Linked DNA regions of Anolis sagrei. The protein of the gene in region 2 interacts with the protein of the main gene of each other region in a pairwise test. Links are inferred from orthologs where the notes say so. Each region holds a gene or a part of one and is shown on either strand. Other genes may lie near its edges.

Region 1 (7,367 bases), on a different chromosome or scaffold from region 2:
CATTGCTGATGGCCAATCCTCACACCAGAAGCAACTTGCTGTTTCTCAAGTCGCTCCTGACACACACAAAAATATTACTCTGTAAAGACTCAATACCTCATCATTTTCCACTAGAGGGCATTGTGCATTTTTTTCTGCTTTAAGCAGCTCTGAAAGCCAGCTTGCCAGGAGGGAGATTGAAACACTGGCCTAGATATCCAGCCTCATTTCACTTGGACCGTTTTCGGTGTCCCACTTGTGTTTGAATTCCCACTGGTGGTTATTCTCTGCACTGAACCTTATTCTACTCAGAGAGGAGGGTCTTCAAGGAGCAGAAACATTCATTCCTTCAGTCAGATTGCCTTCCCCAGGCTTTCCAAAGCAATGAATCATAACTGAAGTGGTTCTGGATCTTTTCAAGTCAGCCTTCAAGATCCCTTCCCCTCTTCCAGGAACTTGAGAGGAATGTGGTAGAGTGGTTCACTATGATCCTAACCCTAAAACAGCTCCCTGATCCCAGAGCAGCTCCCTCCCTCCTGGCCTTCAGAAGGAACGTTTTGAGTTTTATCCATGTCAGGAGCAACTTGAGAAACTGCAAGTTGCTTCTGATGTGAGAGAATTGGCTGTCTGGAAGGACGCTGCCCAGGAGACACCCGGATGTTTAGTTTTTACCATCTTGTGCGAGGCTTCTCTCATGTCCTGGCATGGCGAGCTGGAGATGACAGAAGGAGCTCACCTGCTCTCCCTGAATTTAAACCACTGACCTGTCAATCAGGAGTCCTGCCGGCACAAGAGTTTAACCCATTGCACCACCGAGGTTCAAAGAAAGTGGAAACCTGGCTCTGGAATCAAGCCTTTGGAGATTTATCTAAAGTGCAATAATAGCCTTGAAATATGTGTAATTGATCTTTGAATGGCCTTGGTTTTTAATTGACGATGCTGTGATTTTAATAGTGAATGCAATGTTTTATATGTTTTGATGTGCATGTAATTTTAATTTTTTAACTTAAGTGTATTCTAAGTGTTTGTTGTCCAAAGGCATTGAATAGTTGCCATATGTAAAGCCCCAATGAGTCCCCTTTGGGGTAGAGAAAGGCAGGATATAAATAGAGTAAATAAATATAAAAACTGCCCAGGATTAGCGTGGAATGCAAAACCTAAAGCAAACTCACTCATCTAAGGATGTAAGGCAGTGGTTCTCAACCTGCGGGTCCCCAGATGTTTTGGCCTTTGACTCCCAGAAATCCTAACAGCTGGTAAACTGGGTGGGATTTCTGGGAGTTAATAGGCCAAAACATCTGGGGAAACACAGGTTGAGAACCACTGACATAACGGAATTTTTTTTTTGTCTTGTCAGAACCAACTTGAGAAACTGCAAGTTGTTTCTGGTGTGAGACAATTGGTAGTCTGCAAGGACATTACCCAGAGGATGCCAGGATGTTTTGATGTTTTATCATCCTTGTGGGAGGCTTCTCTCATGTCCCCGCATGAGGAGCTGGAGCTGATAGAGGGAGCTCATCCATGCTCTCCTGGGATTCGAACCTCTGACCTGTCAGTCTTCAGTCCTGCCAGCACAGGGGTTTAACCCACTCCGCCACTGGGAGCTCCTGGAAGGGCCCTACTTATGGGTAAGGGTTTCTTTAGGGACTTCCCCTAAAACAATGCTTCCCCTAAAACAATAACTCCCAGAAATCCCAACCAGTTTACCAGCTGTTAGGATTTCCGGGAGCTGTAGGCCAAAACATCTGAGGACCTACAGCAGTGCCTGTGGGTCCCAAGATGTTTTGGTCTTCAACTCCCAAAAATCTTAAGAGCTGGTAAGCTGGCTGGGATTTCTAGGAGTTTTAGGCGAAAACACTGACCTACAGGTTGAGAACCACTGCCCTAAAAGCAAGCAGGTCTTGTCTCTGAGGACTGCACGCAGGATCTGTTTTGTGTGAGTGTGTGCACGCGGATGGGCTGGGAGTGCTTTCCGCAAGCGCGCTGTCTTTGTTTGGGTTGGTCGCTCAAACCCAGTGAAGTCAGCGCAAGGCCAAGTGTCCTGCAGCACCTGACCTTTATCCCTGTGTCCCTGGCTGCCCTGGGGAGGGTTTCAGTAATGATTTCCCTTGTTGCTCTGCAAAGAGGCGAACATTGTGCAAGAACAGAGCCCTGAAAATGGGAGGGGGAAAGAGAGAGAGAGAGAAAAGAGCTGCCTCCTCCAGCCCTGAAGGGGAGGGTCTTCAGTACTAGAGTGACCTTGCCTTTAGAGGAGGCCTGGGCCAATTTAGGCCCTCCAGGTGCTTTGGACTTCAACTCCCACCGTTCCTAACAGCCTCAGGCCCCTTCCTTTCCCCGCTTAAGCGGCTGAGGGGGAAAAAAGAAGGCGCCTGAGGCTGTTAGGAACGGTGGGAGTTGAAGTCCAAAGCACCTGGAGGGCCTAAATTGGCCCAGGCCTGCTTTAGAGGCTTCCAAGGGCGGGTAGGTCTGAGTTTCAGGTCGAAAGGGCTCGACGGAGGAGGAAGAGGCGGGTGCGCCCTTTGTGTGAGGAAAGGAGACCCGCAGGTGCCTCGCTCTCACTCCCCAACTCCCCGCCCCCGCCCTCGCGGGCCTTCGGAAGCAAACGCCGCGCGCCACTCGGGGCCCAGGGCCACTATGGCAGAGGGGAGACGGAGGGGAGAAAAAGAGGGGTGCGCGCGCAGCCACCCCTCGCGCGCTCTCTCGCTCTCTCTATGCCCGCGCGCGCCCACCCTCTTCTTCATTCCCCCCCCCCTCCCCTCTTCTCTTCATTCCCTATTCTTCTTCTTCTTCGTCGCCGCTTTCTTCGGACCGGGAGCGACCACCCCTTGTGTCCTTTTTTTTTGTCCGGCGTCTCACCTTGGCTGCCCCGAGCTCCACCGGAGCCTCTTCGGCGGGCTTCTCCGACATCCTTAGGCGGCAGAGAGGAAAGGGAGGGAGGCGAACGAGGCAGCGGCGGAGAGGATGAGAGAGAGCGCGAGAGAGAGAGTAAAAGGGAGGGAGGGAGGAAGGGGCGCGCGCTCGCTCGTTCGCTCGCGGAAAAGGGAGGGGGCGGCACCAGGCAGGCAAGCGCGCGCTCCCTTCTCGCGCACCAAGTGGGGGGCGCGCGCGCGCTCCGCAGCCGAGTTCTTCCTCCGCTTTTTCTCCCGAGGGAGGGGGGAAAGAAAAAAAAAAAAGAAAAAGAGGATTTATAGAGGAGGGCGGGGCCTGAGCCGAAGGAGGAAATGAAGGGAGAGGAGGAGGAGGAGAAGGAGGGGAGAGGCAAGGGCCACCAACTGCGCGCCTTTTAGGAGCCGCGATCAACGAGGCGGGGGGAAAAGAGGGAACCCCGTATCCGCGCCCTCAGCCCCTCTTTGCGCTTTGTCCTCTTTGTTCGCCCGCTCCTTTGTCCTTTGTCCCTCCTCCCACCCCCCTCCCGCTTCTGTCCCTTGATCCAGATTAACTCCTAGCACTTGGACAGCGTGTTTTTACGCTCTCCTCTCCCTTCACTTGCCGGAAAGCAGGCGTGGGGCGGGTTCGCGTGTGTCCCAACTGGACGACAACTGGCTGCCCAAGCACAAGGCGGTGTGGTGTATGAGTTATGTTAGCCGCCGCTTTGAGGGCCCTTCCACGCAGCCATATAATTTTCTACATAAATAAAAATGTAATGTTCCTTTGTGGGATTAACAGAACTCAAAAACCACCGAGGGAAGCGACACCAAATTTGGACACAAGACGCCCACTAACCCAAGGAATGACCATCACTCAAAAAAATTGATGTTGTCATTTGGGAGTTGTAGTTGCTGGGATTTATAGTTCACATACAATCAAAGAGCATTCTGAACTCCACCAACGAAGGAACTGAACCTGTCTTGGCATACAGAACTCCCATGACCAACAGAAAACACTAGAAGGGTTTGGTGGGCATTGACCTTGAGTTTGGGAGTTGTAGTTCACCCACATCCATAGATCACTGTGGACTCAAACAATGATGGATCTGGACCAAACTCTACACGAAGACTCAATATGCCCAAATGTGGACACTGGTGGAGTTTGGGGAAAATAGAACCTTGACATTTGGGAGTTGCAGTTGCTGGGATGTATAGTTCCCCTACAATCAGAGAGCATTCCAAACCCCACCAACGATAGAATTGGGCCAAACCTCCCACCAGAGGCAGCCCTAGGTAATTTTCAACGGTAAGCAAACAGTATTTTGGTGCCCCCCCCCCCCCCAACCAATCACTGATATATATTTTCTGTTCGTCATGGGAGTTCTGTGTGCCATATTTGGTTCAATTCCATCACTGGTGGAGTTCAGAATGCTCTTTGATTGTAGGTGAACTATATATCTCAGTAACTACAACTCGCATATGTCAAGGTCTATTTTCCCCCAAGAGCGTCTCAAGAGCGCCCCTGGGCAAAATCAACTATACTGCAAATGCTTACTTTGCGTAATGGGTTGAGCCGCCCCTGCCTCCCACACAAAACCCCCATGTGGGCCACAGCAATGCGTGGCAGGGGATGGCTAGTCTAGAATATCAAGGCAGAGCAACTCACAATATCTGCTTTGAACTGGGTTATCTGAGTCCAATATAGGAGCTCCTGGTGAGCTCTCATCTGTCAGCTTCAGCTTCTCATGCGGGGCCACGAGAGAAGCCTCATAGAATCACAGAGTTGGAAGAGACCTCATGGACCATCCAGTCCAATCCCCTGCCAAGAAGCAGGAAAATTGCATTCAAAGCATCCCACAGGATGGTAACACAGCACTGATAGATCCTGTAGTTCTCTATTTACTCAAATCTTAGTTTCTCAAGTCTCTCCTGACACAAAAATGGAACTACTATACGATGGGACTGGACAATGTTTTTAATAAGGATTCATTAATGACTTATGTTTTATTGCTGTTATGATTTTACTTATGTCGGTGTTTTTAAAATGTACTTATACTTTTGTGGCACTGAATTTTGCCTTGTAAACCGCCTCGAGTCGCCTGAGGGCTGAGAGGGGCAGTATACAAATACAGTAAATAAATAAATAACTTTATTTATGGGTTGTTGTAGGTTTTATTTATATTTTGCCCTATCTCCCCAAGGAGGCTTTATTTATATTTTGCCCTATCTCCCCAAGGAGACTCAGAGCAGAATCCAAGCAAATAAAACGGCAAACATTCAATGCCTCAGTACAATATCTGCTTTGTACTGGGTTATCTGAGTCCACACTGTTATATATTCCCGTTCAAAGCAGAAAATGTGGAATTTTATTAAGCTGTGTGGAAGGGGCTTGAGGACCCTTCCACACAGCCAGGCCTGTAGCGAGGGGGTGGTTTTAGGGGTTCAAACCCTCCCCGAAATGTTTCAGATTTTTTAAAAAACCTGGTTTACTCATGAATTTTAACTGGTTAACCAAATCCTCATGTTAAGTCTATGAGATTCAAAAAATTAAGAGTCCCTCCAGAACTGCAAGCACTATCTCAAGCAAATATTGACAGTTTATTCATATTGTCATTACTTGCAGCAATAGCCAATGTAGCGAAGCAACCAAGTTGGTGTGTGTGTGTGTTGAATGCTGTCATTAAGGAACTCACTGGGTTCCTGTGAGTTTTCCGGGCTGTATCACCATGTTCCAGAAGCATTCTCTCCTGATGTTTTGCCCACATCTATGACAAACATTCTCAGAAGTTGTGAAGTCTTTTGGAAACTAGGCAAGTGAGGTTTATATATCTGGAATAATGTCCAGGGTGGGAGAAAGAACTCTTGTCTGCCTGAGGCAAGTTGTGAATGTTGCAATTGGCCACCTTGATTAGCATTTAATGGCCTTGCAGCTTCAAAGCCTGGCTGGTTGCTGCCTGGGGATTCCTCTGGGTTTTTTTTAGTATTGCTCTTTATTTACTGTCCTGATTTTACAGGTTTTTTTTTAATACTGGTAGCCAGATTTTGTTCATTTTCATGGTTTCCTCCTTTTTGTTGAAATTGTCCACGCTTGTGGATTTCAGTGGACTTTCCACAGATATGTAAACCTCACTTCCCTATTTTCTAACAGAACTCACAATCTCTGAGGATGCCTGCCATAGATGTGGAGTCCCTGATCCCTGGAGTCTAAGGTGAAACTGGTATTTTAAATTGTATTGAAATGCTTTTAATTATTTAATGCAATCCGCTTTGAGTTTCCTTGGGGCAGAAAAGGCTTGGTATAAAGAAACAGAAATATGATGGTGATGATGATAATGATGTGTCCTTCATGCGAATGCACCCAAAGAGCCATAGGACAGGCATCACAAGTACTCTGAAGCTTGTCCGGTGAAGCTTGTTGCTTCCTTCACAGAGTAGACAATATTACAGAGGGCTCTGATACTACCTACCATAATAGGAGACATTATTATTATTATTATTATTATTATTATTATTATTATCTCACTTTTTCTCTCTATAAGTAAAGGTAAAGGTCTCCCCTAGTTGTCGACAGCGGCACCCTGTCATTAAGTTTAGTCTGATCTGGGTGGGGGTGTGTGTGCTCATTTCAATTTCTAAGCCAAAGAGCCGGCATTGTTCATAGGCACCTCCAAGGTTGTTTGGCTAGCATGATTGCATGGAGCACTGTTACTTTCCCACAGAAGCAATACCTATTGATCTGCTCACATTTGCATGTTTTCAAACTGCTAGACTGGCAGAAGCTGGGCCTAACAGCGGGTGCTCACTCCGCTCCCCGGATTGGAACTGCCAACCATTCAATTGAGTCTGTCAACCATACAGAGACTCAAAGCAGCTCACAATGAAAAGGATATGCCTATATGCTTCCCTCCTCATAGGAAAATAAATAAGCCATTAAGAAGAAGGAGGGAGATGGCTTATCTTCATAATACCCTTTGCTTGGCAGCACAAGGAACTCTTCAACTGAAAAAGCATTTGTGGTCAAACCAAGGACATTATTTCCACACAGCCAGAAAAAAACAACCACTCTTTCAAACAAATGAATTTCAAGTAAAAAGTTAAATCATATGTGGACATAATTCATTTCAAGGTGAACTGATCAGCTATACAGGAAAAAACCCCAAATATTTACATTGCTGCCTGCATCTTCATAGAGGGACTGTCAGGTTCTTTTCAGCATTGTTCATGTTTCTATTAGAGAGATGCTTTATTCTCGTAGATCACACAAGAGCTTTGCTGTTTCCAAAACATTTATTGTGCAGACTTAAAGGTTACTCTAAGGCCAAACATGCAGGCAGTCCCCATGTCTCACACAAGATAGGTTCTGTAGGTTTGTTCTTAAGTTGACTTTGCATGTAAGTCGGAACATGTATATTCTTAAGTGTAATTCCAGCATCTATCTATCCATCTCCTCAAAAAGGAAACTCCTCAGGAGGGGGAATAGTGTCTCCTCCATTGAAGCTTTATCATCAAGCCTTGTTTTTA
Region 2 (7,673 bases):
GCTAGAGCTTAAGTGCCCTATTGTAGTGAGTGGTAAACAAAGTCAGATGCTATAAATCTCTGCTAACTACAGATGAAGACTCTGCACTATTTTGGTTTGGTTAACTGCCTTCAGAGATGTTTAGTCCCATGTGCAGCTCTGGGAGGATGTGAAAGGAAGTAATAATTCACAGGTGTTTGTATGTTTATTTGAACCCTTCACTGACAGAACTACCCTTTGCAACTCCCAACAATGTCTGGCTAGCTCAGGCATGAGCAAGTTTGGGCCCTCCAGGTGTTTTGGACTTCAACTCCCACCATTCCTAACAGCCGGTAGGCTGTTAGGAATGGTGGGAGTTGAAGTCCAAAACACCTGGAGGGCCCAAGTTTGCCCATACCTGGTGTAAATACACCTGAGAACAAAACGAAGGGAAAGGACAGCACTCACCTTGAGGACTTGGTCCACCTTCATGTCCTCCAGCGATGGGTACAAGGTGGCCATGGTTGCTGCTCTTGTCAAGATATACCTGTCGAAAACAAAGGGACAAGGTGAAAATTAGAAGAGTTAGAAGAGATCCCAAGGCTATCCCATTAGAGGTGGGAAAGGAAAGGGCCTGAGGCTGTTAGGAATTGTGGGAGTTGAAGTCCAAAACACCTGGAGGGCCAAAGTTTGCCCAGACCTGGTCTACAATATCAATTGCAGCAAAGTGGCTACTATAAACAAAAACTGAGGTTGCATCTGCACTGCAGATTTAATGCAGTTTGACAGTGTTTTAGACGCCATGGTTCAATGCTATGAAAATATGGGAGCTGTAGTCTTACAAGGTCTCTAGCCTTCTCTGAAGTCAGGAACGAAACTACAACTCCCAGGATTGCATAGCATGGAGTCCATGGCTGTTCAAGTGGTGTCAATCTATACTCATTCTACTGTGAAGATATAGTACACAATTGCCCAATAATGTTTTCCCCCGTGATCTCATAGGAATTAACTAACGCTGGCTAATTAATGCAATTTGGATCACGGGTTGTGAGCCTCGTCACTCTCTGCAACAGTACATAGATACCAGGCGTTGCATAACACAAAAGTATGACTCATAAGGAAGTATGTTCTTTTCAGTTTCCATGAGTGCCCCGGGAAAAATAAACTGTGGATGTTAACTTTTCGAAAGTACGGGATTTGTAGCATGAGGGTGCAAAAAGATTGTTGTGGCACATTGAACATTCGCACACACTACTTCTTAATCACTAAAGCCCTTAATACTTAGGCAAATATTAAATTGTATTATTAATTATTTATTAATAAAATTAATTCATTTATTGTAAAGTATTAATTTATTATAAATTATTAATTATTAAAATTGTATAATCAATTAATTAATTGAAATCAATTCATTATTTGTTTAGCCACTTAATCATGAGCTGAATATTAATATATTAAGAATGTCAAAGGAAGAGTGGAATGTAACTACGTTATGGACATTTGATACCCCTTTCCTTGCTCTGTCTGTTTAGTTGCCATAGATACCTGGGACATATAGTTTCACGATGTACTTTGAACTGTAGTGATCTCTCCTGAACTATATCTCCCAAGATCCCCTCCTTCAGACCACAAACGCTTTTCTTGGGCTATCTTAAGAGTTATATATAGCCTTCGACAATACATTGGGAGTTATAGTTCGGGAGAACGATAGCCTTTGATCACAGGGCACAGCTACACAGTAGAATAAATACCATTTGAACCAACTTTGACTGCCATGACACGATGCAATGGCATCATGGGAGTTGTAATATCGCAGGCTCTGTAGCCTTCTCTGCCACAGAGCGCTGGTGCCCCAACAAACTACAAATCCCAGGATCCCATAGTGCTGAGCCCTGGCAGTTGAAGCAGAGTCAGCCTTGGAGTCTCCAATGTTTTTCACTCCCAACTCTCAGAATCTCAGAGCATTGGGAGTTGGAGTACATGATTCCCTAGAGATTCACATACTTCTGGAATTCTGAGAGTCGGAGTGAAAAACATTGGAGAGTCAAAGGTTGAGAGGCAGTTCCCTGGAGAGCTCTTGTTCCCTCCCTTTAATCACAGCGTTACCTGCAAGTATTCAAAACACCTCACCAAACTACAGATCCCAAGATGCCATACAATGGTGCTATGGCAGAAAAAGACAAATCAAACTACTATAATTCTGCAGTGCAGGTGCATTTCTTTGAATGGATCTACCTTGAGATGAAACTTGCTTTTGCTTTCTTCTGAGGCTGAGATAGTGTGACTTGCCTGAGTGGGGATTCAAACTCAAGAAATAATTGTTGTTTTTGTTGTTGTTGTTGTCCTACTTTTTTTTCAAGGGGACCCAAAGCGGCTAACAACTACACAAAGAACTCAAATTCTACATATAACTCTATGAAGAAGGCTAGGCCACTCAATCAAGACACCTGTCAACTTATAGCAAACACACAAATCTCATAGGATCTTCTTAAGATGCATCGTCACTGCAGAATAGATACAGTTTGGCACCATTTTGGCTTCCATGGCTCAGTACTATGGAATCGTGGGAATTGTAGTTTGCTGAGGCTCCAAAACTCTTTGACAAGGAATGCAGAAGGTCTTGTGAAACTATCATTCCCATGATTCCCTATCATTGAGCCATGGCACTTCAAGTCATATCAAACTGCATTATTTCTACAACCTCACCAAACTACAAGATGCACCAAACCACGGTAGGTAGAGTGATGTCAAACTGCATTCAACAGAACACCTGAGATTTGTTGCCAGCCTCCCAACCAGATCCCATCCAGGGATGTCCCTGCTTAGCTTTCAGACAAGACGGGGAACAGACTTCCAAAGCATGCCAGGGTTTTACATTGCAAGGAAGTAAACACTTTTTTTTTGTATCCACTGCCTTGACATTCTGTCCAACCCCACCCTCCAGGTGAGTCGAGAGCAGCACTTACCTGTCTGACGTTTCTGCAAAGAAAAGGCTTCTGCCGTTGACTTTTGTCCTCTTTCGACTTTATGGCAGGGAGGAGAATGAGAAGGAAGTGAAAAGACCAAAGCAAACCAGAAGTGGAGGAGGAACACAGTCTGGGTGACGTCAGGAGGAGGTTCCTGGCTCAGGTGTGGCTTACCTGTGCAAGAGCAAAGCATAGAGCTTGCCCATGGCTACATCTACACTGGAGAATTGATGCAACTGCTATGGCAACCTGAGAGTTGTGGTTCAGTGAGGTGCCACTCTCTTTGGCAGAGAAGGCCAGAGACCTTGTAGAACTACAACTCCCAGGATTCTAGATGTTGCAAACGTTGAGCATAAGATTGGTTTTTTATTGACTGTGATATATATATTAATTGTTTTTAACTGTTAAAACTGTTTAATTGCTGTCTATATTTTATCTGTATTACTGTGTAGGCATCAAATTGTGCCTTTTTGTAAGTCACCCTGAGTCCCCTCTCGGGGGTTGAGAAGGGCGGGGTAGAAGTACACGAAATAATAAATAAATAAATAAATAAAATAAGAAGGAATGTATAGTTCTGGGAGATACTAGGTGAGACTCTTTGGGTGCAGAATCAATTGAGCTTGACACAACTTGAATTTCCCTGGCTCAATGCTATGGAATCATGGGAATTGTAGTTTGTTTATTTATTTATATATTTACATCACTTATATCCCGCCCATATCAGCCCGCAGGCGACTCAGGGTGGTCTACATATCGGCACAATTCGATGCCATCAATACAATACAAAAGCAAAAACAATTAAGTGCATTTAGACAAAAGAGACAGTGCAATAACAATTTAAAAAGAGCTATATCCTCTCATTCCAATCCTCATCCGTTTTGTTGTCCTGGCCGTTCCTGGGTCATTCTCCACCTCAAGCTTGACTATTCCGGGGTTCCGAATGCCTGCTCGAAGAGCCAGGCTTTCAACTCTCTTACGAAAGGTCAGGAGGGAGGGGCTGATCTGATATCCCTAGGCAGGGAGTTCCACAGCCGAGGGGCCGCCACAGAGAAGGCCCTGTCTCTCGTCCCCGCCAAGCGTGCTTGCGAAGCAGACGGGATCGAGAGCAGGGCCTCCTCAGATGATCTTAACTTCCTGGAGGGTTCGTAGGAAGAGATGCGTTCGGATAGGTAGCCTGGTCCAGAACCGTTTAGGGCTTTATAGGCTAAAGCCAGCACTTTGAATTGTGCCCGGTAGCAAAGTGGCAGCCAGTGGAGCTGATGCAGCAGAGGAGTTGTATGCTCCCTGAGCGCCGCTCCTGTTAGCAACCTGGCTGCCGCACGCTGTACCATTTGTAGCTTCTGGGCCATCTTCAAAGGCAACCTCACGTAGAGCGCATTGCAGTAATCTATGCGGGATATAAGCAGAGCGTGGACTACCGTGGCCAAGTCAGACTTCCCAAGGTACGGGCGCATCTGGTGCACAAGTTTTAGTTGTGCAAATGCTCCCCTGGTCACCGCCGAAACTTGGGGTTCCAGGCTCAGCGATGAATCCAGGATCACACCCAAGCTGCAAACCTGCGTCTTCAGGGGGAGTGTAACCCCATCTAACACAGGCTTAACCCTATACCCTGTTCGGCCTTTCGACTGACCAGGAGTGCCTCTGTCTTGTCTGGATTCAGTTTCAATTTGTTAGCCCTCATCCAGTCCAATACAGCGGCCAAGCACTGGTTCAGGACCTGAACAGCCTCCTTAGTAGTAGGTGGGAAGGAGTAAAAGAGTTGGACATCATCTGCGTACAGATAACACCACACCCCGAAACTCCGGATGATCTCCCCCAGTGGCTTCATGTAGATGTTAAACAACATGGGGGACAGTATAGAACCCTGCGGGACCCCACAAGACAATGGTTTTGAGGTCGAGCAGTTGTCCCCCAGCAACACCTTCTGGGTACGATCCTCTAGGAAGGACCTGAGCCATTGCAAAACAGTGCCATCAAGGCCCATTCCCGCGAGGCGTCCCCGAAGGATACCATGGTCGATGGTATCGAAGGCCGCTGAGAGGTCCAGCAGAACCAACAGGGACACACTCCCCCTGTCTAGCTCCCGGCGAAGATCATCCACTAAGGCGACCAAGGCTGTCTTGGTACCATGTCCCGGCCTAAAGCCAGTTTGACAAGGGGTGCATCTACACCAGGCATGGGCAAACTTGGGCCCTCCAGGTGTTATGGACTTCAATTCCCACAATTTCTAATAGCCTGCCGGCTGTTAGGAATTATGGGAGTTGAAGTCCAAAACACCTGGAGGGCCCAAGTTTGCCTATGCCTGATCTACACTGTAGAATTAATGCAGTTCTGCACCACTTTGATTGCCATGGCTCAATGTTATTGAATCCTGCAAGGGGTCATTTCATAAAATCTTCAGGCTTCTCTGATAAAGAATGCTGGGGTCTCACCAAACTACAATTCCCATGATACCAGGCCATTGAGCTATGACTGTTCAAAGTGGGTTCAAACTGGATTAATTCTCCAGTGTAGGTGCACCCCATATGAGGTTAGATTGCAACTCCCCAAAATCCCCCAGCCAGCCTTGATCCTGGGAACTGCAATTCAGAAAAACTCATATGGGCACACTTTGAATTTATCATGCAAAATCCCCTTCTACGCTGCCATATAATCCATATTATCAAAGCAAATAATGATATTGAGCAGAAATTTAGGGGTCTTTGCCAGGAGGCAGAGACCAGTCAGACCCACCAAGGAGAGTCCGTTTGCCCTGGCAAGACAGAAAGAAGCCCCCAAACAATTTTCCCTGATTTTTCCCAATCAAGGTCTCACCAAGCTGAAGAAAAGCCACCGAGTTGTCTTTTATTTTGTTCCAGCTGGTACGGATGTCAAACTGCAATCCCTTGCCAGAGCTGACATGCTTGGCAGGACAGAATGATACATTTTTATAGAGATACAGAGCTGTCAAATTCAAATTCCCCTCCCCCCTTGCCGGCTTTGAGCTGATTGATTGGCGTCATCAGCTGGAGGGGAGGCACAGCCAGCTTAGGTGCGCCTCAGCCAATGGGAAAGCCAGCGCCGCTTCGGCTTCTCAGCCAATGAGGAGCGAGGAGGCGGTTCAAGCAGGAAACAATGAATCAGAAGGAAAGATGAGTGTATTAATGCACCTTAATGTTTGGTCCAATTGCCGGCGATAATCCGAAGTATCTCAAGCTAACCTGGTTTTGTCTCATGCGGGTGAAATATACAAAAGTGGCTGGCATGAATGCCAAGCCCCAGTAACCTCCAGTCCTGGGTATGGGATCAATTGATGTTATCTAGTCTTTGGTTTCAGCCAAGGGTATGAGGATAATGGGTGAGGCAGTTGGGGCACCCAAAATCCTCCTGAAGGCAGGATGTCTCCTTTGTTGAAGAGTGGTTGCATCTCCATGGGGTACTTCCTTCAGGTGGCCATGCGCTGAGGCCTGAAGGTGTACCCATTGTTTTTGTCCATGCAATAAGTCTTTGTTGAGTCCTTTTAATTAAGGGAAAAGTCCTTCTCAGGAAATGTAAAATATTTTCCTGAGATTTCGGCTTGCTGGGGTCACGAAACGGTGGCATTGCATATTTTATACAGACACATATATGGAGTTCATAAGGCAGACATTCATAAAAGAGAGAAAGGAATTAATATCAACCCATCCCACCCACCAAGAGTCCATTAAAAGGTCTAAAAGTACAGTGGAAATTCATGAGGTTTGGGGAAGAAAAGGGTTCTAAAAAGTTTCCAAAAGTTTTAAAAGTTGACCAAAGTTCAAAAAAAGTTCCAGAATCCATGAGGGCAGAATGAGGAAGGTTCCTCAGAGTCCATTGGGTCCTTTGGAGGTGATGGCAAGTACTGGAGCTCGAGATCCAGGTCAGAGAGTGGAGAAAACTATAGATCCCATCTCGTCAAGGACCGGGATGGCCCGTTGGTTTCCCGGGGGTCCCAAGGGGTGACCATGGCAGGTTCCCCAGGTCAACAGGCTCTTCGGGCATCAACAAGATGGCGGCAGCGATGTGGTGGCAGCAGAGAGTCAGCTGGGCTCCATGTTGAGTTTTGGGGGGCAAAAGGGTTATTCCTGGGGTGGAGAGGTTAGCAGAGCAAATGCGAGATAACCATTAGTCTTAAAATTAGCCCAGGAGAAGAATGGTACTGATTTTGGAGCGATCTGTTGACCCACAGATACGGGGACCCGATGGGTTTCCGTATCTGCGGTTCAGAGGAACGCAGTTTCGGCCTCCCCAGAATGCAAGAATCGCATCCCGGGCAGGCCGGCAACTGTCTGCAGCCTGGGAGAGAGAAAGTTCATACAGAGAATTGTTTGCAGGCAGTAAAGAACACAAAGTAACACTATAGAGTGGGAAAAGTTACCATTAATTGATACTTTATTGGGTGGATTTGTTACAATGTTAGCTAGGGGAAAGAAAGTAAAGCAGAAGGAGAGTCTTCGGTTGAGGCTGCTGCTGTGGTCACATTCCCATGGATGCTGTCCCAAGCAGGCAATTGAGAACTGCGGAACTCCCTGCTGCAGGTCAGATCAGCTTGAAGGCAGGGAGTTCTGGGTTGTTCCTTCTCACTAATACCTATTATCTGCTTTGAACTAGATTCTATGAATCTACACTCCCATATAATCCAGTTTAAAGCAGATAATCTGGATTTTATATGGCAATGTAGAAGGGGCCTAATTTATGTATATCTGTTTGTAGTTTAGGTTTACTTTGAGTTAAAGACAATGTTAGTGAGAG

The links.
Region 1: the proteins of SDCBP2 (region 2) and PTMS interact in a two-hybrid assay, tested with the Homo sapiens proteins (2 studies listed by BioGRID and IntAct). The two-hybrid records come from large-scale screens. The link is inferred for Anolis sagrei from reciprocal best matches to the Homo sapiens genes SDCBP2 and PTMS.

Annotation. Positions count from the first base shown.
Region 1 is NC_090022.1:197,813,458-197,820,824, reverse strand, and holds the start of PTMS (parathymosin), read right to left. Parts: upstream 3,031-7,367; 5' UTR 2,887-3,030; coding exon 2,836-2,886; intron 1-2,835.
Region 2 is NC_090024.1:241,426,491-241,434,163, forward strand, and holds the start of SDCBP2 (syntenin-2), read right to left. Parts: upstream 3,084-7,673; 5' UTR 2,925-3,083; intron 506-2,924; 5' UTR 481-505; coding exon 427-480; intron 1-426.